Tribolium castaneum: one gene and its partners. The protein of the gene in region 4 purifies or fractionates together with the protein of the main gene of each other region. This does not show direct contact. Links are inferred from orthologs where the notes say so. Each region holds a gene or a part of one and is shown on either strand. Other genes may lie near its edges. The genes, in order: U2A, Sf3b6, splicing factor 45, Sf3b2, U2 snRNP-associated SURP motif-containing protein, Phf5a and dnaJ homolog subfamily C member 8.

The links.
Region 1: the proteins of Sf3b2 (region 4) and U2A purify together in Homo sapiens (affinity purification with mass spectrometry; 5 studies listed by BioGRID and IntAct, counting the BioPlex papers as one, with this or other methods). This does not show direct contact. The link is inferred for Tribolium castaneum from reciprocal best matches to the Homo sapiens genes SF3B2 and SNRPA1.
Region 2: the proteins of Sf3b2 (region 4) and Sf3b6 fractionate together in Homo sapiens (co-fractionation; 5 studies listed by BioGRID and IntAct, with this or other methods). This does not show direct contact. The link is inferred for Tribolium castaneum from reciprocal best matches to the Homo sapiens genes SF3B2 and SF3B6.
Region 3: the proteins of Sf3b2 (region 4) and splicing factor 45 purify together in Homo sapiens (co-immunoprecipitation; 4 studies listed by BioGRID and IntAct, counting the BioPlex papers as one, with this or other methods). This does not show direct contact. The link is inferred for Tribolium castaneum from reciprocal best matches to the Homo sapiens genes SF3B2 and RBM17.
Region 5: the proteins of Sf3b2 (region 4) and U2 snRNP-associated SURP motif-containing protein purify together in Homo sapiens (affinity purification with mass spectrometry; 3 studies listed by BioGRID and IntAct, with this or other methods). This does not show direct contact. The link is inferred for Tribolium castaneum from reciprocal best matches to the Homo sapiens genes SF3B2 and U2SURP.
Region 6: the proteins of Sf3b2 (region 4) and Phf5a purify together in Homo sapiens (affinity purification with mass spectrometry; 4 studies listed by BioGRID and IntAct, with this or other methods). This does not show direct contact. The link is inferred for Tribolium castaneum from reciprocal best matches to the Homo sapiens genes SF3B2 and PHF5A.
Region 7: the proteins of Sf3b2 (region 4) and dnaJ homolog subfamily C member 8 purify together in Homo sapiens (affinity purification with mass spectrometry; 3 studies listed by BioGRID and IntAct, with this or other methods). This does not show direct contact. The link is inferred for Tribolium castaneum from reciprocal best matches to the Homo sapiens genes SF3B2 and DNAJC8.

The regions. Positions count from the first base shown.
Region 1 is NC_087395.1:21,925,022-21,927,936, reverse strand, and holds U2A (U2 small nuclear ribonucleoprotein A'), read right to left. Parts: upstream 1,633-2,915; 5' UTR 1,547-1,632; coding exon 1,465-1,546; intron 1,419-1,464; coding exon 1,271-1,418; intron 1,221-1,270; coding exon 868-1,220; intron 813-867; coding exon 687-812; intron 638-686; coding exon 603-637; 3' UTR 501-602; downstream 1-500. UniProt on the Homo sapiens protein: Involved in pre-mRNA splicing as component of the spliceosome. Associated with sn-RNP U2, where it contributes to the binding of stem loop IV of U2 snRNA.
Region 2 is NC_087395.1:21,527,768-21,530,285, reverse strand, and holds Sf3b6 (splicing factor 3B subunit 6), read right to left. Parts: upstream 1,102-2,518; 5' UTR 973-1,101; coding exon 943-972; intron 892-942; coding exon 556-891; 3' UTR 501-555; downstream 1-500. Other genes in the region: mutS protein homolog 5, read right to left, coding at 1,118-1,591, 1,632-2,179, 2,225-2,270, 2,318-2,508.
Region 3 is NC_087398.1:1,436,826-1,439,862, reverse strand, and holds splicing factor 45, read right to left. Parts: upstream 1,849-3,037; 5' UTR 1,718-1,848; coding exon 554-1,717; 3' UTR 501-553; downstream 1-500. Other genes in the region: zinc finger protein OZF, read left to right, coding at 1-119; mRpS22 (small ribosomal subunit protein mS22), read left to right, coding at 2,032-2,158, 2,216-3,037. UniProt on the Homo sapiens protein: Splice factor that binds to the single-stranded 3'AG at the exon/intron border and promotes its utilization in the second catalytic step. Involved in the regulation of alternative splicing and the utilization of cryptic splice sites.
Region 4 is NC_087396.1:14,198,314-14,202,528, forward strand, and holds the start of Sf3b2 (splicing factor 3B subunit 2), read right to left. Parts: upstream 2,801-4,215; 5' UTR 2,654-2,800; intron 2,530-2,653; 5' UTR 2,495-2,529; coding exon 2,395-2,494; intron 2,344-2,394; coding exon 2,117-2,343; intron 2,065-2,116; coding exon 1,883-2,064; intron 1,832-1,882; coding exon 1,630-1,831; intron 1,577-1,629; coding exon 1,400-1,576; intron 827-1,399; coding exon 594-826; intron 457-593; coding exon 102-456; intron 48-101; coding exon 1-47. Other genes in the region: uncharacterized protein LOC103313715, read left to right, coding at 3,167-4,215. UniProt on the Homo sapiens protein: Component of the 17S U2 SnRNP complex of the spliceosome, a large ribonucleoprotein complex that removes introns from transcribed pre-mRNAs.
Region 5 is NC_087403.1:341,258-343,927, reverse strand, and holds the end of U2 snRNP-associated SURP motif-containing protein, read right to left. Parts: coding exon 2,605-2,670; intron 2,559-2,604; coding exon 2,123-2,558; intron 2,072-2,122; coding exon 1,680-2,071; intron 1,399-1,679; coding exon 1,144-1,398; intron 1,088-1,143; coding exon 1,025-1,087; intron 974-1,024; coding exon 628-973; 3' UTR 501-627; downstream 1-500. Other genes in the region: proteoglycan 4, read left to right, coding at 1-243.
Region 6 is NC_087395.1:6,324,863-6,327,394, forward strand, and holds Phf5a (PHD finger-like domain-containing protein 5A), read right to left. Parts: upstream 1,084-2,532; 5' UTR 931-1,083; intron 890-930; exon of another isoform or gene 882-889; 5' UTR 871-881; coding exon 538-870; 3' UTR 501-537; downstream 1-500. Other genes in the region: uncharacterized protein LOC655475, read left to right, coding at 1,306-1,354, 1,402-1,605, 1,653-1,879.
Region 7 is NC_087397.1:4,880,883-4,883,997, reverse strand, and holds dnaJ homolog subfamily C member 8, read right to left. Parts: upstream 1,763-3,115; 5' UTR 1,588-1,762; coding exon 1,534-1,587; intron 1,477-1,533; coding exon 1,156-1,476; intron 1,078-1,155; coding exon 841-1,077; intron 784-840; coding exon 658-783; 3' UTR 501-657; downstream 1-500. UniProt on the Homo sapiens protein: Suppresses polyglutamine (polyQ) aggregation of ATXN3 in neuronal cells.

The DNA of each region.
Region 1 (2,915 bases), on a different chromosome or scaffold from region 4:
TAAGTGACGCGAATTGTTATAGAAATAATTCCAAATCAACTAAAACATTCTGAAATGAAAAAATTTATTTGAACTTTGAAATATTCTAAAACCACTATTACCACACACTTTGAAAAGTATTTCGGTCACTTTAGACACAATTTCCAAGGCGCTCTTAAAATGACACGAGTAGCCACTAAAAAGTATTCGCAAGACGGTTTTGAGATAAAAACAATTTTTTATTTTTTACATGTTTACAGACAAATTTAAAATCCGCAAAATTTAAAAAACTGGTTTATTTCTGTAATTAACATTACTTTTGCTCGCTGTGAAAACTAAAAACTAATTTTCTTCGAAAAATTAGCTGCAAAACAAAATTTGTTGTTAGCTTATTTCGTTCAATTAATTTCTGAAACAGATAAATCTTGCCAGAAAGGCATTGTTTCAGTCGGGAAAGATTGAAATAATACCCAGTTATTGTACGTATTGCTTTATTAGAAAAAATGAAAAATTAATTCCGCTCGCTTCTCAACCTTGTATTTAGTGTAGTACAATACTCTTATCAACCGGAACTTATAAATAAAACTAATTAATTGTACACCTGACTGAAAATTACCTCAAACTTATTCATATTCCATACTTTGTCCATTTTGATATCCTGAAAAAAAATATTACATTTCCCACAATAAATCATAGAAAAAATTAACCGTTCATTTCTTCTTGACCAGGAATTTGACCAGACTGTAAAATCTTCTGTAACCGTTCAACCTCTTCCAAAGAACTGGCCTTATTGATAGCTTCACGAATTTTCGCAATTTCTTCGTCTGTAAGGCCTTGAAAAAATAATTAAATTGAAAAAATAAAACTCACAGAAAATGTAAGACGTACCTTTACTTTTGGCAATACTGTTACCTGTACCTCCGGGAATAAACGTCTTTGCCCTTTTCCCAATTTCTTTCCTAATCTCCTTGCCTTTCTTACTCTTAAACAGAGCCCTCGCCTCTTCCCGTTCCTTAGCTGTGACTTTACGAAAATCGAGCAACCTTAACTGCGGTAACTTATAAATTAGGTATAGCCTGTAATGCTGCTTGGAAGTGATAGGGTTATGTAAAAGACTAACTGTGGTGAGCTTCTCCAAAGTGCACAACGGCTCAATATCACCCAGCTCTTCCAAGTGGTTCCCAGTCAAAATCAGCGTCTCCAAATTAGGAATGTACTCCTCCAAATGCTCCCCAATGCGTCTAAAACCCCAAAACTCAAAAAAAAAAAACGAAAAAACCCCACAACTTACACAATACGGTTATTGTTAAAAAGCAAACATTTCAACCGCTTCAAGTACGGAAAACCATCCAACTTGCGCACATCATTGTCCGAAAAGTCAATTGTGTCGAACTGGTCACCGGTGGCCCCCAGATTTTCCACTTCGGGGATGCGATAACCTAAAAAAAGATGACTTAACCCAACTTTTTTACATTTGGTCCTCACCTCGTAAGTCCAACTCGCGGTCTTTTACCGGATTTATGTATTGCATGGAATTTTGAATCAGCTCGGCTGTTAGCTTCACCATAATTAGGTTTTAGCGAAAAATTACAATTAAACAAACAACGCACAAGCCATCAATTTCACCGACTACCGTTACAGGTTTCTGTAATTGTTACACGAATACCTGTAGAGAGCGCCCCAAACGCAATTTCCCTGAATTTCCAAAAATTTCCAAAATTAAGATGAAGCAATAAATATCAATCATTGGGACCAAATAATTAATAATTTAATTTTTGTATCAAAACATGGAATCTAAATATGAAAAAATACAGGAAAACGTCGTTAATCCGAACCCCTTCTAACCCGAAAAACAAACTTACTTTTAACTGTTAACAGCTGATAATGATAATTTGATAATATACTCCGTATGTTACATTATTGTATTTTGTAATAAAAAGTCCTGCTTCAGTTATTTATTTATTTTAATTAGGTAAGAAAAAATTAATTTCATAATCGGGAAAACCCCAAACAAAAATGGCTCGGATTCAAAGGCTTCACTATATACAAAAACACGTCTGCCAACACTTATTTCAGCGATTTGTGTTGGTCACAAATATGCTAATTCTGGCTAAAAAAAGTTGCTAAACAATAAGAAAAACACAATGAATGTGTGGAATGTACGTTTGAAGTATTATTATCTGTCGGATTCCCCGCATCGTCATTAATTAATCAAAAAATGATTTCGTGAAACGAATCAAGCCATTGTCTTCTTCACTTCCCCTTAGAGCAAAAAACAAGAGCCAAATTATTCATTGACGTCACAAATGTTTATCCAAACCGAACGGGTTTATTTCCATTGAACTTACACCAATTACGCGCCGATGAGTGATAAAACTCGTTCCATTCTTAATCTGGAAGAAAATTTCCTTGTGACTTTTCCGAGCTAATGAGACTTGAAGAATGCGCGTTTCGCGATAAGATTTATTACCACCTGATGATAATTAATTGTGAGCCGAATTGTACTTGAGGGAAAGGTTTCTCACATCACAAATTTCTGAAGGACCCACTTTAAATACGCAATGTGTAATAATTGTATAATGCCACCCACCTGAAAGAATGCAATTGTTGCCTTGTTTACTTATGCTAATTGGAATAAAAGTGCGAGTGTCTTCGGAACAGTACTGCAAATCGCCTAATTTAGCAGCGCTGCATACACAGCGTCTATAAATATCCCACTTTATTAAATAATTATGGAAATGCAGCCTGCGGTCGTTACCGAAAATATGTGAGAAGGCTGCGCTCGCTTCCGGTCGGCAGTCCTTAGGCAAGGACTTCCCCTGAGTTAAATTCCATGTTTACAAAAAGGTGAATCATAATTAGCTGCATTGTCAACTTTCGAGCCGATCGCGCTGATTTGAAATTCGTTTCAAAAAGTATTTAATAAAATAACATCA
Region 2 (2,518 bases), on a different chromosome or scaffold from region 4:
GTAGAAATAATAAATGATCAGTATTTAATCCATTTTTACTCAGTAAAAAATTTAAATGACAAAACCACGCACAGTATTTTATTAAAATTTACCCAGTAAAAAAATCGTATATGCACAGTATCTAGTTTCAGTTTACACGGTTTAAATAATAAACGCTCAATAGATAGCCTGCAGGCTGGGGCTTCGCCCCATCGAACTAAAACGAAACATATCCCGCGAACGATTTTTGAGATGCTATTATCTACTGTGCATTTATTATTTTTACTGAGCATTTACTATTTTTACTGAGCATTTACTATTATTACTGTGCATTTATTATTTTAACTGTGCGTTTATTATTTTTACTGTGCGTTTATTATTTTTACTGATCAAAAATACTTGTCGTTTAAATAAAATACTGTGCATTTAATTTGTACCCATAAAAAAAAACTCTTAGCAGACTCACCCTGAATTGAAAGGGAATTTAAAGGGAGATTTAATTGCGTTAGATATAAAAATCATTCTCATTGTAATTATTTATTTAAAAAGCTTAAAATTATGTACAATACAATATGTTTACGTATTAATTCCGTATTTTGATTTCATCTTATCAATCTCTTCCTGTTTCTTCTCAATATCGGTCTTCTTGAACGCTTTACTCGCCTGATAATACAAAACCACTAAATACCGATTACAAACATTAAAGCCGGACAAATGGTCACAAGCGTTTTTTGCGTCAAAAATGTCCTCATAAACCACAAAAGCTGTGCCTCTAGTTTCCGGGGTATTACCGACGCGGATTTGCCTGATAGCCCCATATTTACCGAAAATATCGTACATTTCTTCGGCTGTTATTTTATAGGGGAGATTGCGGATGTAGAGAATTCGGTTGATTTCTGGGGGCAACCTAACCTATAAAAAAAAACATTTTTTGGGTCAAATTTTTGGTATTTAACGACTTACGTTTGCCTTTCTTTGCATAGCCAAAGCCATTGTGGCGTTTTTTTAATTTGCTTCAATGAATTAAATACAAAAACAAACTCACACAAACGTTTTTATTGACTGAACAACACGATCGCCAACGTAACACGTACCAACCCAACAATTAACAAAACTAAAGCGGGATATTCAAACACAATTATGCCTCATCTGGTTCCGGAATATTAACATCTTTTAAAAACGCAATCAACGCACTATCATTAACGGAAGCCGGATAACTCTCACAACGGACTAATGGCGTGACTGTTTTCTTTTTTTCAAACAATTCGTTTGCCCGTTTGATAATACTCGCATCCACGCCAACTTCGGCCGCAATTTTTATCGCAAAACTCCTCGAAACACCTTTCGCCACTTTATAAAGGAACAAAAGTGTCCCATTTTCCTCCGAATGTGCCATTTTCAAATATTCAACAACACCATCTTCCGGTAAAAAATCAGAAATGCTTTGGTGGTGCGTCGAGACAAGTATGTGAGGGCAGTTATTGCCTTGTTTGTGAAAGTCGGCCAGAAAGCCGACCAGTAAAGCAAGTCCATCCTCCACGGTGGTTCCCCGGCCAAACTCGTCCAATAAGATCAGAGAGTTGTGGCGCGCGTTATGAATCGCTTGCGTGGCCTAATTTACGATTAATTTTTTCGCAAAATTTTATACAGACCTGGATTGCGTCAATCATAAATGCAGATAGGCGCACGGCTGCCGATTCCGTCGCTTGCATTCTGGAATGTATGCAATGCAAAATCCCGATGTTGGCGCTCCTGGCAGGCACGTAGGAGCCAATGTGGGCAAAGTAAATAACGAGGGCTACTTCCTTCAAATACACACTTTTGCCACTGCCGTTAGGCCCCGTGATTATTTTAATGTGACTGTGGTGATTCCCCGAGCAAAAGTCATTGGGCTCGAAATTTGAGACCAGCTCGAGGAGAGGGTGACGACACTCGCGGATTTCGTGCATATTTTGGTTGTTTAAAGCAGGTCGGACGTAATTATTTTGTGCCGAGACTTTCGCTATTGCTATCAAACTAAAAATTGTGTATAATTGGGAGAAAAAATCAATAAAATCGTACGCATCAAACAGCGATAAGACTCTAAGAGGCTCTCTAATATCCTTGTTGTATTTGAGAATGAAGGAGGAAAGGCGTTGCAAAATGCGATTTTCGTGGGCGATTATTTCGGCATTAATGTCGCCAAGGTTTTCGTCCAATTCTAAATTAAAATGATAGAAAAACAATAAATTTAAATTTTTTATACCTAAACATAGTGGATTCTTGTAATGGATTGTTCCACGCAACGTGAACTACAAAATACCCAATAAGTGATAAATCGCCTTAGGAATTTTCTTACCATGAATTGAAATCCTAAATCTTTCAATTCCTCGGGATCGCAATTCGGTTTCCATTCGTTTATCGCAACCAAATGTCCCATTTCTGGTAAATACACAATGGAACATTCGTTTAAATAGTCTGGTAATTGCTCTGCTGCCACTCCGGCCGCTGCTCGAACATGTTGGGCAATGTCTTGTCGACGCAATTTTTCTAAATCATT
Region 3 (3,037 bases), on a different chromosome or scaffold from region 4:
TACATGTGAGGATACATACAGGGGAAAGGCCCTACACTTGCAGTATTTGTGGTATGAGTTTCACGCAAAGTAATACTCTTAACACGCATATGAAAGTGCACGCGCCAACGACAGGCTGAGGAGCAAAAATGTGTAACGAGGTGCATACGTATTTTTTTCTACTGCGAAATTGAGTGGCCATTGAGTAAAAAATAGGTCGCTTTTATTGTAAACGAACAGTATGAAGTTAAAAACAATAATGAAGTAGAAGTCATTTTTAGAATAAAATTTTTCGAAAACTAAAAAGATTCTCGAAAAATGTTATTCTTAAACGTGATCACATTTTTTTCGGACTTGATGTAGTAATTATTTTGTCCTAGGCAAGAAACGCTTAGTTCCACACATTTCATTCACGTAATGCTCACACAGGACCATTAGTTTAAAAGCGCTTGATATTAAATATGCATTTTTTTTCTATTTTTAAATGATTCATTTTGTGCATTTTATTAACAAGACAAATATTTATTTATTCCGTACATTAATTTATTTTGTAAATAAAAAACAATACAAACACTTAGTCCATCAACTGAAGATTATCGAACTTCTCAGTGTCATAAAAACTGGCCTTGACTTGCCTTCCCCCAAAGAACCTTCCATTCAAGTCCACCACTGCTTTAATCGCACTCTCTATCCTCCTAAACTCCACAAAAATCCTCACAGCCTCTTCAGGATTCTCCGCTTGAGTTTCATGAATAATTACGCTTGTAACCTCCCCATATTTCGTATTACATTCATCTTTGACTTCCGGCTCCAAATCATCGTCAACTTCACCCGGCCCTACCATATTTTTCAGTAGCACAACCTTACTGGGATTTTTAATAATTTCAGTAATGCTTTGTTGTTGTGTATTTGCTGGTGTTTCAAGAACCGGCGACGCTGTCGCTGCTGCCATAATTTCCTTCTCGTGAATAATCCTCCCGCCCCGTTTTGAAGTCTTCTCCACTTGGAGAGCACTCGCCATGCCTTGCTCCTGCTTGCCTAAACCTTGACCCTCTTTAAAGCCGTATTTCGCCATAATTTTGGCGGCCACGGAAGAGCCGAAATTGGCGGCGGGAGTTGGGGGCTTATTGGGGAAAATTGGGGCGGATTCTGCCGGTTCCTGAAGGCTGGGCGGGGGCGCAATTGCCACACCTGAAGCCCGGGGTTTGGCTTGCACAGGCTCTATTTCGTCGTCTTCTTCGGCCCATCTTCCGGCAAATCCGCTAGCAAGCGGTGGTTGTGTTATTTGTGGTGTGGGGATCACGAGCGACTCCTCAGGGTCGCTAAAACGTGACTTGCGTTTCCTCTCTCGCCGTTTTTCTTCCTTATCGTTTTCTCGTTCGCGATTTTCGCGCAATTCTTTCACGACTTTATCGAACTCATTTGGCCATAGAGGGTCGTACTCGTCGTCCACGTTCCAGTCGTATTCAATACCGTAAGTTACCGAGGAACTAAGTGTGGGGAGACTTGGCTCATTTTTAACTTTTTGATACGTTGGGTAAATGTCGTCGTCGTCCCGTTTGCTTTTCAAGTCTATCACGGGGGCTAAACTAACTTTGCGTTGTTGTTCGCGCTTTGGTTGCGTTACTGTGGCCTTTTTGAGCTGGAGTTGGGACTGGAGGAGTTTGATTCCGGAGGACCAGCCGGAGACCTTCTCCGTGGCGCGGGCCTTCACGTCCAGGTCGTCGTACAGAGACATGTCCAATTATGTTAAAATAACATCAGTTACACTCAAAATAACAAATCTGTGAACCACAAAACTAAGGTTATATTTATGCTTCTTGTCAAGTCAAGCCCAAGTTACCGAAAACTGTTTCGTCAGAAAAACGTGTGATTGCTCGCAAAAACAACAATCCTGCAAGAAATTACCACCAGTGCTTTGCTAATGAAGCGTGGTATAAAAATCTAAGTTATGGCAGAGATTATGGTGGTTTTTTTTTGCCCGTGAAAGCACGTTCGATTTGGACACCTTTCGGTGGCGGGAACAATCAGTCGCGAAACGTGTAACCCGAAATGGCCGCGTTTCGCTATTTTTCAAAAAAACTGCTCTCAAGTACATTAAAAACCGACATAAGGGCACCAGTGAGCAACAACTATGTGGTCTGCGTCCGCCTGTTGAGTTACACACCCATGCCGTACGGTATTATTGTTTAAACAAGTAATCAAAAGTTCGAGGTTAAGTGGCCACGATTTCTAGATGGGAATCCGGACCCGGGCCCCATTTTCATCAAGAAAGAAGTGCAGACCCTTCTCACGACTCTAACTCGCGTAGATTTGGCCAAAGTTTACAGGAAAAGGAAACTGGGCGGGAGACAATTAGAACAACCAGTTTACAAATTCATGACTGATGAACAACTCCAAGAGGCTTTGGATGAAGCTAAACGAAAAGTTGACGAAATCCTCCAGATACCACCAGTTGTTGCCGTACGTAAACCTCGCGATAAAGTCGTGTCGCGAGATCCAGCTTTGCAAGGTTTGGACTCCTCTAATTATATTTTTACTGATATTTCGTACGGTGTTCCCGATTCTGAGCGGATTATTCTTGTGAGGGACACTGAGGGGACGTTGAGGGACGCCGATTGGGCGACGCGCGATAGAATAAATCAAATGTATTTCCCCGTAGCTCGGAGGCAAGTTACGCCCCCGAAAATGTTCGAGGATGATAAATTAGACGATTTGTTAAAGAGGGGCGAATATAACTTTATTCTAGACAGGGCGTGCTTGCAGTTTGAGCCCAACGATGAATTCTACCAGAAAGTTTGCTCAGTTACGTACCAACACATTAACGAAAATAATAAATTTGAGGATATTAGGTCTACTAGACATTTTGGTAGTTTTGCCTTCTTTATCGCTTGGCATAAAATGATTGATAATTTATTACTTGACCTCATTGAAAGCGAGCATATTGATGAGGCCAATGCTTTGGTTGAGCTTTACGCCCAGTTACATGGGGAGAAATTTAGGGGTAATTCAATTGAGGAATATATTGGGAAATTTTCAACGAAAAAAGCGGCCCTTG
Region 4 (4,215 bases):
AGCTCGCCCCAGAGGGTGCGATCCACGGAAGGGTCCTCACCAATGTCCTAAACATTGATATTTGAACAAAATTCAATAAAACAATATTATAAAATACTTACATCTATGTTGGTAACATTTGTTCCAAACACATCACCGTACAATGGTTTTCCATTTTCGTCCACCGGTGGTTTTCCCCACCCACCGGCATGGTACCCAAAGGCACAACCATCAGGGATGGGGGCATTTAATCCCGGAATTTTCAAGTTGGGGTAGCTGGGTGGGGGACCATAACGTTGCATTGCAATCAACCATGGTGGGGGTACTTTATTAGCGTTAGGGCCCACAGGCATTCCTAAGGCCGTTCTTAATTCTTCTGATAAATCTCCAGGCTTTTTTTCCTTCAATCTGGTTTCAAACTCTTTGCCCTCGTAATAAAGGTCCCCATGGATGGTCATTTTGGGTTTAGTTTGCCACCTAACAATAACAATGAGATTATAAAAAAAATTCTAAATAAACAGCTGTCTATCTTTTTCAATTATTCCCAATCTCTACGAATACACAATTACAAACAATAGCAATTTTAGCTTTTATCAAAAATAAAAAAAACGTACTTGAAAAATGCGTCGTGTAATTTTTGATAATCAATATCGATTTTTCCAAGTTTGGGTCTGGTCTTTTCCCGCATTTTAGCTTTGAGTGTTTTGGATTCATCCTTATCTTGCAATGACGCACGCATTTCCATGATTCCAGTCCTTTTAATGAAATCTGGAAGATTAAAAGGTGGTTTCTCTATACCACGTTTACCTTGCAAGTACTTTCGTTTGAAACACCAATGACGTGGTACCTGAAAAACACATTATTCAGCCAATTGCTAACTCCGCATATATTTTCATCTGCTTTATTATTATGAAAAATCTGTTAAGTTTGTTCCAAAACATCACTTTTTAATAAAAAATTCAAATCCTTGCTTCTTATGCGTTCAGTAAAATGTTTAGTTTGGAACAAAGTTCGTCTAAAGAAAATAATAATTAATAATGCTACAGAATTCTATATGTGCGCAAAATTAAGAGTTTTCAAATTGGAAGTAGTGACGAAAATTATTTTTCCAAAGCTTACGACTTAATTCTATTCTTAATAATAATTTAATAAAAGGTATTCTCTTTTTTTATTAATTGTTAGTAGTTCCTGAATTTTGTTAACATTTTCGTGTTATAATAAAATTGTTACAAAGCATAATTTTTTGTGTCCCATCCGTAACTAATTATTTATAACAACTTTTAGAAGTGGCAAAATGAATTTAAATTGTTAATCCATCTTTTTTTTTTAATAAGCCATTTTTAAAATAATAGTTATGTGCCGTCCGTAATCATGGAATGGCTGCATTACTTTTAATTTTTGAGAAAATTATAATCGTTACCTGAACGGTATTTCTGTGAGCTTTCAATTGGACCAACAATTTTGGGTCCCTGGCTGTTACATCGTGCATTTCTACAACGTCTGGTCTACTGACTAGTTGTTTAAGCTCGGCGACGCTAAGTCGCGTCAATTTTTTAAGCTTTCTTTTGGACATTTTTGACTTATCGTCAAGCTTTTTCTGAAAAAAAAATAGATACATATTTTTTATTCATAATGTAATACAACACTTACGTCGTCCCCATCTTCCATTTCTTCCTGAAAGTGATCTCCTATGCTATTTAACATTGATTTACTTGACAATGATGTTGGCGTTGCCAGAACTGGGGGTGGGATATCATGCTTTTGATCAGTTATTTTAAACACGTCAAAAATGCTATAAAACTGCCGGTATTGTGGAGCCAGTTCAAGAAGACTAATCGTCTCTTGGACGTACCTTTAATTAAACTCATAACAATTTTGTCAAACAAATAGAAAAAACACCTACTCAACTTCCACATCTGTATTCCCATCCTCTTGCCCATCCTTTTTCTCCTCCTCTTCAGCCGCTTTATTCTGTTCATTCTCCCTGTTTTTCTTGTTCTTCTTCCTTTTCTTCTTCTTTTTATTCTTACTGATTTTGGTGGTCTCTTTCACCTGACTCTCTTCTTCATTTTCAACCACGGGTTCCTAAAAAAACAATCGTTATAACTATATTCATACAAAAAATTAAAAAAGCTACAATATTGTCATCTTTCTCCCAAAGCGCCTCTCTAGGAGTCTGCGGCTGTTGAACTACTGTTTCCGTTTCTTCTCGTTCTAGTTCACGCGCTCTCTGATTTTTTAACGCCAACACCTCTTCCAACACTTGAGGTAAAACAACTTCAGTTGGTGGCGTCTCCATCATCTGATCAGGAGGATCCACTTTTAGGGATAGCAATGAGGGGAGTTGTTTTTCACCACCAACACCTGAAATAGTCCAATGCGATATAAACAAACTGGTTGAAAACAATCAATTACCATGTTCACCAGCCCACCCTTGCATACCTGACCCAAACATCCCTTCCTGGTGGGGCACAGGGTGCTCCGGGACACCCTCTTGTAGCTGATCCGGATTCATTTGTCAGTAGAATCAGTGCTTGTTGCAGCCGTAAGCTGAAAGGAGACGGGATTATGGAATTGTTCTAACACTAAAAAGCACTTTTCTCAATTTGATATAACCTCTTTCTCATACTAATTTCTTAAAAAATGTTTGAATCAAAGCAAGAAGCGAACTTACTATAACAGATAGTCTGTTAAATTTTATCTACAATGAGGAAAAACCGCAAACTTTTAATATTATTAATAATTTATTGCGGCATTCAGCAACGTTTCGGTCGACATTTTTGTTTGGAATTAGAGCGAATGCGACCGTAATCGCGACAGCTCGATTTCCTGCAAAAGCGAAAACATTTCCCAAAATTTTCATACAGAATAAATCAAATGTAGTAGTTATTTATCCAGTTAGTTACAACTTTCTCTATTAACATCTTGTAAATACAATAATTTATAAATATTTAATCAATTTATTTTTCAAACAAGATGCCAATCTAATTTGGACCAATCACGCATCTCAATCTCAAATGTCAGATTCAAAAAAACGGTTTTGTTGTCGGTTTGTCATTTGTGTGCCTTGTTTACTGTAAAGTTACTATAAAAAGCGAATAATTGGATTTAACACAACGTTAAAGGTAAAAACCGAGTTTTTTTGATACGAAAATTACATAAAAATTGTTTTATAGCTTGCATTAAAATGTCAGTGAGGTCCAGCAGACGTTTAAATAAAAAACTAAATCCACCTGAAATGGAAAGCACCAGTGGCCCCTTAAGCAGTGCCAAAGCAACAAGAAGTGGACGAAAAGTCAGAAAAACGAACGATTTGCTTTTCTTCAGTTTTAATGCTTCTGCAGTGGAAAAAGAAGACGAAAATATTAAGCCAACGTCGTCAAAGCATAATAAACAGAATTTGCCTCGTTTGGAGTTCGATGAGAGCGGGAAAAGTGACAAAGGAAGCCCTTTTTTGTTCAAGGAAGTTCAAAAAATCTCGCCGCCACCTGTACCAAAAAATAAAAGAAAAATCGTCAAAGCTAAGAGAGTTCTTAGGAGTACCAAGCAATGTGAACTGGAAGACAAGTGCAATGATGAGACATTAGATCTCACTACAAAAAGTTTGAAGGAGAAATCTTCCGAAAATTCTGTAAATCTTGTGAGTGATGGTGAGGGAAGTTCACGTTTCATCACAGTCACGGAGAAAATGGCTCAAGATGGACACGTGAAAAAAGAAAATAAACATGGCAAGACACCAAAGGTCAAAAGACAGAGTGGGAAAGGAGAGTTTTCTTCGTTTAGAGACATTGAAGATTTTAAATCTCTTGAAGAACCGTCAGAAAATTGCAAGAGCGTAAATTTGAGCCCTTTAAATGAAGATGAGGGAAGTTCAAGCTACATTGAAGTCAACGAGAAGAGTACACAAGATGGACGTATTACAGAGAAAAATAGTCCTAGCAATGGTACTTTCCCCAATTTTGTTGCTTCAAGCAAGACACCAAAGACCAAAAAACAGAATTTGTCTTCTTTGGAAGCGGACGAAAGTGGGAAAGGAAAGTTTTCTTCGTTTAGGGAAATTGAAGATTCAAAATCTTTTGAAAATTGCAAGTCTGTAAACTTGAGTCCTGTGAATGAAGATGAGGGAAGTTCAAGCTACATTGAAGTGCAGGAAAAGACTACTACAGAGAAGATCAGTCCTACCATTGATTTGCCCAAATTTAATTTTGTTGCTTCAACGGCGAAAAAAGAAAAAAA
Region 5 (2,670 bases), on a different chromosome or scaffold from region 4:
CCTGCTGCACCGCAAACACCGCCAGTTGCAGCTGCAGAACAACAAACACCACAGACAGCTCCAGCTGCGGTTGCACAACAGCCGCCTCCAGCCGCAGCTGCGCCTGCGGAAGCTGGAAAAGGCAAACCTGAATCAAAACAGTCGAAACCTGAAACAGCACAAGGTGCCGCATCTGTAGCATCGCCCACTCCTCCACCTCGTAAAGGAAGTGGAGGTGGAAAGAAATCGAAATCGAAGAAATAATTGTGTTTCATTTAGAGTGTTCAAAACAGCCTGTTTTTTCGTTTAACGTGCCATATTAACGCAGTTATATTGCGTAACAAAAATGCCTAATTTTGGATAGATTTGTTGTTTTCTTTTTGTATTTATTTATAATACTTGCGTAAGTAGCTAGTTGCTGATTTATACTTTGTTGTGTTTCTATGAAAATAAAGCGGTTTTTCAAGTGATTTCTTTTATTTAGTGTTGGATTTACATAAAAAAAACAAAACAACGCTAACTTCGAAGGCGTAAAGATCCATTGTATTTGTAAAAGAAAAAAAGTAATTGAAGACAACATAATAAACTCCTTTCAATATTATTGAGCGTGTGTTCAATACCTCAATTATTCGTAATAAAATATCGCTCTCAGTATTTGTGTTTGTGTCGATGTTTTCTTGAAGACTCCGGCGAGTGATACCTGGACCGGTACGGTGACGTGCTCCCACGACGACTTCTCGGAGACGGAGATCTCCGATTTCGCGGAGAAGTCGATCTACGATTACTTTTTGTACGTGAAGGTGACGGTGATCGCCGACTTTTCGCCACACGAGCTGGTGAACCATATTTACCATTTGAGGAACTAATCGGAGAGAGGGAATCTTTGGACTTGCGGGATCGGGACGAGGAGGGCGACTGACGCCGGATGTGAGGGGGGCTGGGCGGACTCGGCCCTCGAAAAGCTTTCTTCCTCGGAGGCGAACGACTTTTCGACCTAGGATATACAGTAGTTATTGGGAAAATAATGTAAAGCATAAAATTTTACCTGTGTTTGGACGTGGAACCGCTTGACGAGCTGCGCGAAAGTTTTTTTGATTTCCTAGATTTACTACAAAATTAGTAAGGATCTTGTTAGTTGACGGTTGTTTGAATTGTTCTACTTACAGCTCTTTGTAATATAATTCGTCCTCTGAGCTGTCCTCTTTCCGGTCATCTTTTTTGTGTTTGTCGCTTTTCGGGTCTTTCTCCTTCCTTTCTTTCTCGCTCTTCTTTAGTAACTTTCTTCGATAGTGTTCCACTTGTTGTGGTAAGGTCCACCCGGTTTTCAAAGCTCTTTGGCCTGACTCTAATTCGTCTTGGTACTGTACGGCTTTCACTTCAATTTCTCGCAATTTGTTCCTTCTTTCTTCCGTCATATTTCTAAAATTGGGACAAAAAATTGACCAAGGAGAAAATCACTCTTAAAACTTGGAATATTTAAATGTATTAAATATTGGAATTATATGTATCTATAGAATTATAGAAAAAAATCACTTGCATAAAGAAAATAATAAAGCATTTTTTGCAAACGTATTTCCAAAAATCGGTATGCAAAAATAATTTTTTAGAAATATTTTTGTTATCACGTCAAGGGACAAAAAAACTCTTTAATATGGTGATCACAGTAAAAATATTTATGAAGAGATATCAAAAAACGTAACCTCGTGTCGGTATAATCATTGGAATCGTCCTTGTCGTTTGAGGAACCATCCTGACTGGGATCAGCGCTACTTCCCAGCAAGTCCCACTTGCTTGTGGTCATCGCTTGCGCTTCGACTTGTTCCGGGTCGATTGTTTCCCACTTTGACATAATAAAACCGGACAAAGGCGCGGGTGGTTTCTTCTGATTAAGCACAACATCGTTCGGATCATCGACAATTTCCTTCCCGTCAATATCATCATTCGAAATCGTGGTGTTCTTGTACCGTTTCATTGCACTTTTCAGCAACGTTGCTCCATCCATTGGCACATCATCGTCGGTTTCGGGCTGGTCTTGCAACGGATCGCCGTCTATATCAATATTTGACTCAACAGCGGGGTCCTCTTTAGGTTCCTAACAACACAAGCGTGAAACACTAACCCGCAAAACCCCACTCTTTTTTACCCTGACCGGTTCCTTGATACCCAAAAACACGGTTCGTAATTTGTTCACGTAATCCTTGTGGTAAATCGAGTCGTCCAACGCCTGCAATATCCGCAAAACGCGCAGCTTGCAACCCTCGGCCTGCAACCGCCCTTCCAACTTGTCGTAGGACTTCTTCACTTCGGTCATTATATCCACAAGTTTTGACTCAAACGCCTTGCGGTAGTAAGACGCATTGTTGACTTTGACGCCGCAGTTGTGCAAAATATCCGACACGAGGTAAAGTCTGGCGATTTTTTTCGTGATGAGGGTTGAGGAGTTTGATAGTGATTCGGTGATACACTCGACCACTTCCTCAGCAGCGTCACTGTGTTCAATGCAGAAGACCATAGCTTCGCCGATTTTGCTCCGTTCGGGGGTTAGGGACCGTATCAGGTCTTCCAAGCGGTCTCGTTGCCTGTAAATCAAATCTTAGTTTTTGCATATTTTCACGCGTTACGTACGTGTTAGAGAGGGAGCCTTTCGTACTCTCTTTACCCTCGTCGTCGTTCACTAGTTCATCGGGCATC
Region 6 (2,532 bases), on a different chromosome or scaffold from region 4:
ACTTATACCATTTCTAACTTTATGATAATTTTTGGTGGCTTGTTTGTTTCTAAACATTCACTAAGAACTTGATAACGATAAAATATTGTTCGCGGTAGACGAAAGTCCGTAACTGAATCTGAAGCGCACACGCGCTTTAAATAAATCCTGGACTAGTTCAGGATTAGTTCTAAAAACCTTCCGCGAACAAAGCTGATAACATATGACGCTGACACTAATAAATCCTTCAAAACATGTCAATTTTTGTCATTTTTTCGAAGACAAAAAGCCGCTGCCATTATCAAAATCATATGATGGCAGTAAAAAATATTGTAGATGGCACACATGAATATGAAATTTTGTCTATTCACAAACATTATCATACTCGGAATTGCCTCGCGCGTTAAACTACTTTTTTTCCTTGATTTTTTCATTATAGAAAACTAGGAAAACAGTGCAAAAACAAAATTAAAAAAAAGATTTTTTTTAATATGATAACAGGAAAATTGACTGACTGATAATAAATTTTATGATTTATTTTAATTACACAAAATCACATTAGCGCCGCTTAAACCCGTATTTCTTACGCTCATAGAAGAGGTCAGTCTTCGAACTACCCAGATTCACAATTTTGGGGCACCCATCCCTGTCTTTCTCCTGAATTGTGCATTCCTTACAGTAGTAAGCGTCTGAAATACCTGGACCTCCACAAATCACGCATCTGCCCTGATACGAACCGTAGTTACACTCGTCACAAATCCTCACTAAAGTGCAGGGACGCACGTACGAATCGCAAATAACGCATTTTCCGTCACACTTCTCACAGAGCCTCCCTATGGCCACCCCCGGCTGCTTGCGACAAAAAATCAAATCGGGGTGATGCTTGGCCATGCTTCAGTGATCTACAAATCTTGTTTCAACAATACTGTTATTCCAAACTCAGGAACTTACCGTAAAACGTGAGAAAACGTTGAGCTTTGTTTCGAGATTTGTTAGGTTATGTGTACAACAGTTGACAGTTGAACTGGAAGTGTCGACAGTTACGCCAGCTAGACGTTCTTATTTTCGTGTCAAATGATTAATTAATTGTCGAATTTTGATTTGAGTATTACGGAAGCACAAACTAATTTCTATATAACTTAAGAATCGTGACCACATTCAACAAATAAATAAATAAATTTAAATTTTGACACCAGACACTAGTAATTTCATTTCATCAAGTTGCTGAGTTCGTTAAGTTGGCAACACTACTATAAAAAATCAAAAAGTGATTGATTCCCTTTGAACGTTAGGCTCCAATTTGCCGAAACTGAAGCGATTTCAACAATGAATTCGATGTTTTCCTCACCCGCAATCCACGTTTTCTCCCAAGAAAGTGAGTATTTGATGTTCGGTGAAATAATCTTCAAGTGTCGTTTTTAGACGTTGGAAGTGTGGCAAAAAAGCCAAGAACCACTAACACCCTATCAAGAAAACCGTTTTTTGATCGAGCCGTGAATGCAAACACGCCTGATTTTGGCAGAAATGTGAAACCCGAGCCGCAACTGAAAAAGCCTGAGCAAAATATTGACATAGAAGATGATGACTTATTTATTTACGACACTTACTCCTTCAAGGATATGAACGGTTTTCACCGAGATTTGTGTGTGACGAAATCTGATTTCTGGTTTTAGATGATTGCGCTGCTGATAAATTAATTACTGCAAAGGAAAAATTCAACAAGCTGCGACCATGTTGTGGTTACAAGGAGTTGACTCCATCTCCAAAGTTATCACCTGTTGATTTTGATATGTTTATTAAGATTCCGAAAACTATCAAGTTTTCTGTAAAGTCTGAAGACAGTTACGACATGACCGATGAAAGTGAGCACATTTCACTGCCGGACATTGATTTTTATTAAACCCTTATAAGTGGTATTTTTGTATTGATTTATCTTAAATAAAGAGATTTGAGTTTCAAAATTTTATTGAAAATATCTTTGCTGCGAAGCTACATGTTACATCTAAGAGTATTTAAACCACATCTTCCTTGAAGTGAAGAATGTTTCTCTTGACTAATTGTCCGTAAAATAGTACTTTTCCGAAATGAATGTGTGTAATGTTGGTTGCATAATATTTGAATAAGCTCAGAAATATTAGGTAGTAATAAATTCGATTTTGATCAGTAAAAAATAATAAGTGATCAGTATTTTAATAATTTTTGCACAGTAAAAAATTTAAATGACAAGTAAACCACGCACAGTATTTTATTAAAATTTGTCCAGTACAAAAATCGTATATGCACAGTATCTTGTTCAGTTTGCACAGTTTAAATAATACACGCTCAGTAGCTAGCTTGCAGGCTAGGGCTTCGCCCCAGCGAACTAAAAGGAAACATACCCCTCCAACAATTAAACTCAAAAATGTAAAACTCAAAATGTGGAATTCCACACTCTCTACATAATTTTGAGATTCTATTATTGATTGTGCATGTATTATTTTTACTTTACCAAAGCCAGTAGATATACTAAAGTAGCGACACGGACCTTGACAGGGCAACAATAACGATTATACA
Region 7 (3,115 bases), on a different chromosome or scaffold from region 4:
TTACCTCATCTTTCTTCTCTTTTTTCCTGGCAAGAATGCTCTAAACCTTCAGTGGTTATTGGTGGACAAATAATACTAATTAATTTAACTAATTAGAGCATTTCTTAAATGTAATACGTATTGCACTTTACATACGTAAAATTATTTTTATAGTGTTTATATATTTAAGATGTAACGTAATATGTATGTACAATAATAAAGTTATGTACAAATACGTAAGTATTTTATGGGATTTCGTTTAATAAAGTCTGTTAAATTTCTATCGTCTTTAATCTTTATTTAAAAAGATGAGTGTAATCGTTCATAGTTTTATTTCTTGTAAAAGTTAAATAGTTATGTGATTTCTTATTAAATTTAAAATAAAATTGGATGATTTGCCGATTTAAAAAACATCGAGTTCTAGGTCTTGTGCGCGCTTTAAATTAAAAATTAAATGTTAATTTAATACTTTATGGCTTGGAATTTGGGGAAATTTGAGGACGCTTACAAACACGCCAAACTTTTAGACACATCCTTTATTTTTAAAATAAAATAATTCTACAAAATATTTTAGTATAAAATAATATGATCTGTTTTGTATACACACAAGTGCATCCAGAGTAACAAATTACAACACAAATCAATGAATAAACTATCCTACATGACGTTAGTATGAAATTATCTAGATTCTGGCTTATTTTTCGGCGGTTTAAACGTTTTGATCTTTTTACTCGCTTTTTTAGTTTTTGATTTTGAATTGGCTTGGAAAGACTGCCAACTTTCAACCCGATTTTGCCTAGATTCCTGCAACAAAAATGTTATACTTGCTCAACTCATGTTAATACCAGTGGGTGTAGTTACCTCAAAATTCTTCTGCCACTCTTTTTGAGCTTTCTGATTCTCTTCTTCCTCAATTTCCTGTTCTCTTTTTCTCTTTCTCTCTTCCTGATCTCTTTCCGCTAATTCACGCCGTTTCCTTTCCATATCTGCAAACAGTTTCATTGTGAGAACATAAACGGCATGTTTGTATTTATCAGGATCATCCTCTGGGATTTTGTCTTTTCCTTCTTTTTTATATTTCTTTCGCTTCTCGGCAAGCTACAAACAATGTTAATACAAAAACGTCGTGTCTCAAGCTATTTCATCGTAAACAACACTCCACCCTCAAATACGTACCATAATGTCGGTTCTACCCTTAGCCTCCTCAATAATGTCCATGCACTTTTGCCTGGTCTCAGGATTGTTCAAGATCTTCCAGGCCTTGTTCACTGCCTCAAAAGCCTGTTGCGCCCGTTCGGCATCGTCCTGATTCTTGTCAGGATGCACCAAAAACGACAGCTTTCGGTACTGCTTCTTCACCTCCTCAATGGGGGTCTCAGGCTCAACTTGTAGCACTTCAAACGGGTTTAGGTTGAGATAGGTGGAGCCGGGGCGCAAAAGACGCTCAATTTGTTGCTTAGAAGTTAGAACAGAGTCACGTTTTTCGATTTCTTTCACCTAAAAATTGGGACAAACACAGAGTTGTCTCAAAGAAAGGCCCAACAGAGAGCTTACCTCTGTGTAGAACTCGTCGAATTTTGGGTCCTCTTTCGGGCTCTTCTCTGCCATTTTCGCGTGTTTTAACAATGTGCACTATTTTTAAGTTTGTTGTTATTTTTATGATGGAGGAATGGATCTTTTTTGACGCATTTTGAGTCTTCCGTCTATGATAATTTTCGTGAAGCTGGTGGCAGTTCTGAATTACCGACGAACAGATAGATTCCTGTACCCGGTCGTCATGAAACCCACTCCCGGCTTGAGATGTCGCCTCAATTGAATTACCAAAATATTGCGCCAAAATTTAAAATACTGCTCCGATTGTTTTTGTAAAACTTTATGAAAAAGTGATACGCTGTTGTCAAATTGCTGGAATTAGTAATTTTCATTTATGCTGCCATAACACAATGTGGATATTCTGATAAGCTCGATAAGAGTTGATATCTACACACTTAACAATATTAATGTAACTTTAGAGGTCAAATAAAAACGATGATACTGGAGGCCAGACATTCGAGGCAAATTATCGCGTTTTATTCATCATTGTCTGGTTTTGAACAAAATTACCAGCGGGTGCGGCGTTAAAACGCTGCAAAATTTTGTGTTTTCGTATGAATTATGCAAAGCGTTTTTGTTTTGCAATATTTACTTGATGCACTTTCGTTACGCTTGGAACATTATTTTTATTGGGATAGGTCGGCGAGTTTTTTGATGAATGCAACAATTATCTCAGCACGAAAGTGCATGTTTGCCGGCAAGATAGACGCAGTGGCTATTACCAAAAAGATTATTTTCTCAACAACCCTTGCAATAAACTTTACTAGTCACGGACATTAGACCAAGATAAACCTTTTATTTGAGGTAATGTGGTTTTATTTTATCGTGATAACGGAGTTATTAGACAAAAGAAAACAAGATAATTTTATTTTATTGAATATAAATTTGGGTTCGGAAGTATGGAGCGAGCCATATTTTTCCTAAGGACTTTGATTTAATTGCAATCAACTGGTCGGCGGTGGTAAATTCCACGATTACCAAATAAGAAACCAATGACGTATGTTCCAGTTTATAAATCGCTTGAACATGAAGAATCAGAGCAAGCGAGTCGGTTTTGAAAAATCGTTAAACGAAAAAAATGGTCTTTCAGTTAGTGAATTTGAAATTGAAAAGAGGCTCCAATTAGTTAGATTAGGGCAATTATATAAACTAAGCCTATTATACACTGGCGGATTCTTGTATTAATTATAGCACTACTGACACGAATATGTCTATAAGCAAACCCAAAGCTAAATAAATGCGACAAGATATTTTACTGGTCCGCAAGTGCCAAATTTTTTGTGATCATTAAAGAGAAAATAATGGATTTCCGTGTCATTTTTGATTTGATGTGTGATTTTAACAGAGTTATAATTTTAAAATGAGGAAGTTCGCTAAACGTGAAATTTAATCATGCGTGCGTTTAATTTTAGACGTGGCCTTACACATTTTCTGTTGCCAGAGGCATTATGTAGAATATAGCCTTGAAATGTGAAGGTTGTTCGTTTGAGAATCTCTTTCCACCTACGAATAACTGTTTTAATTACCTACTTCACAACGTTTT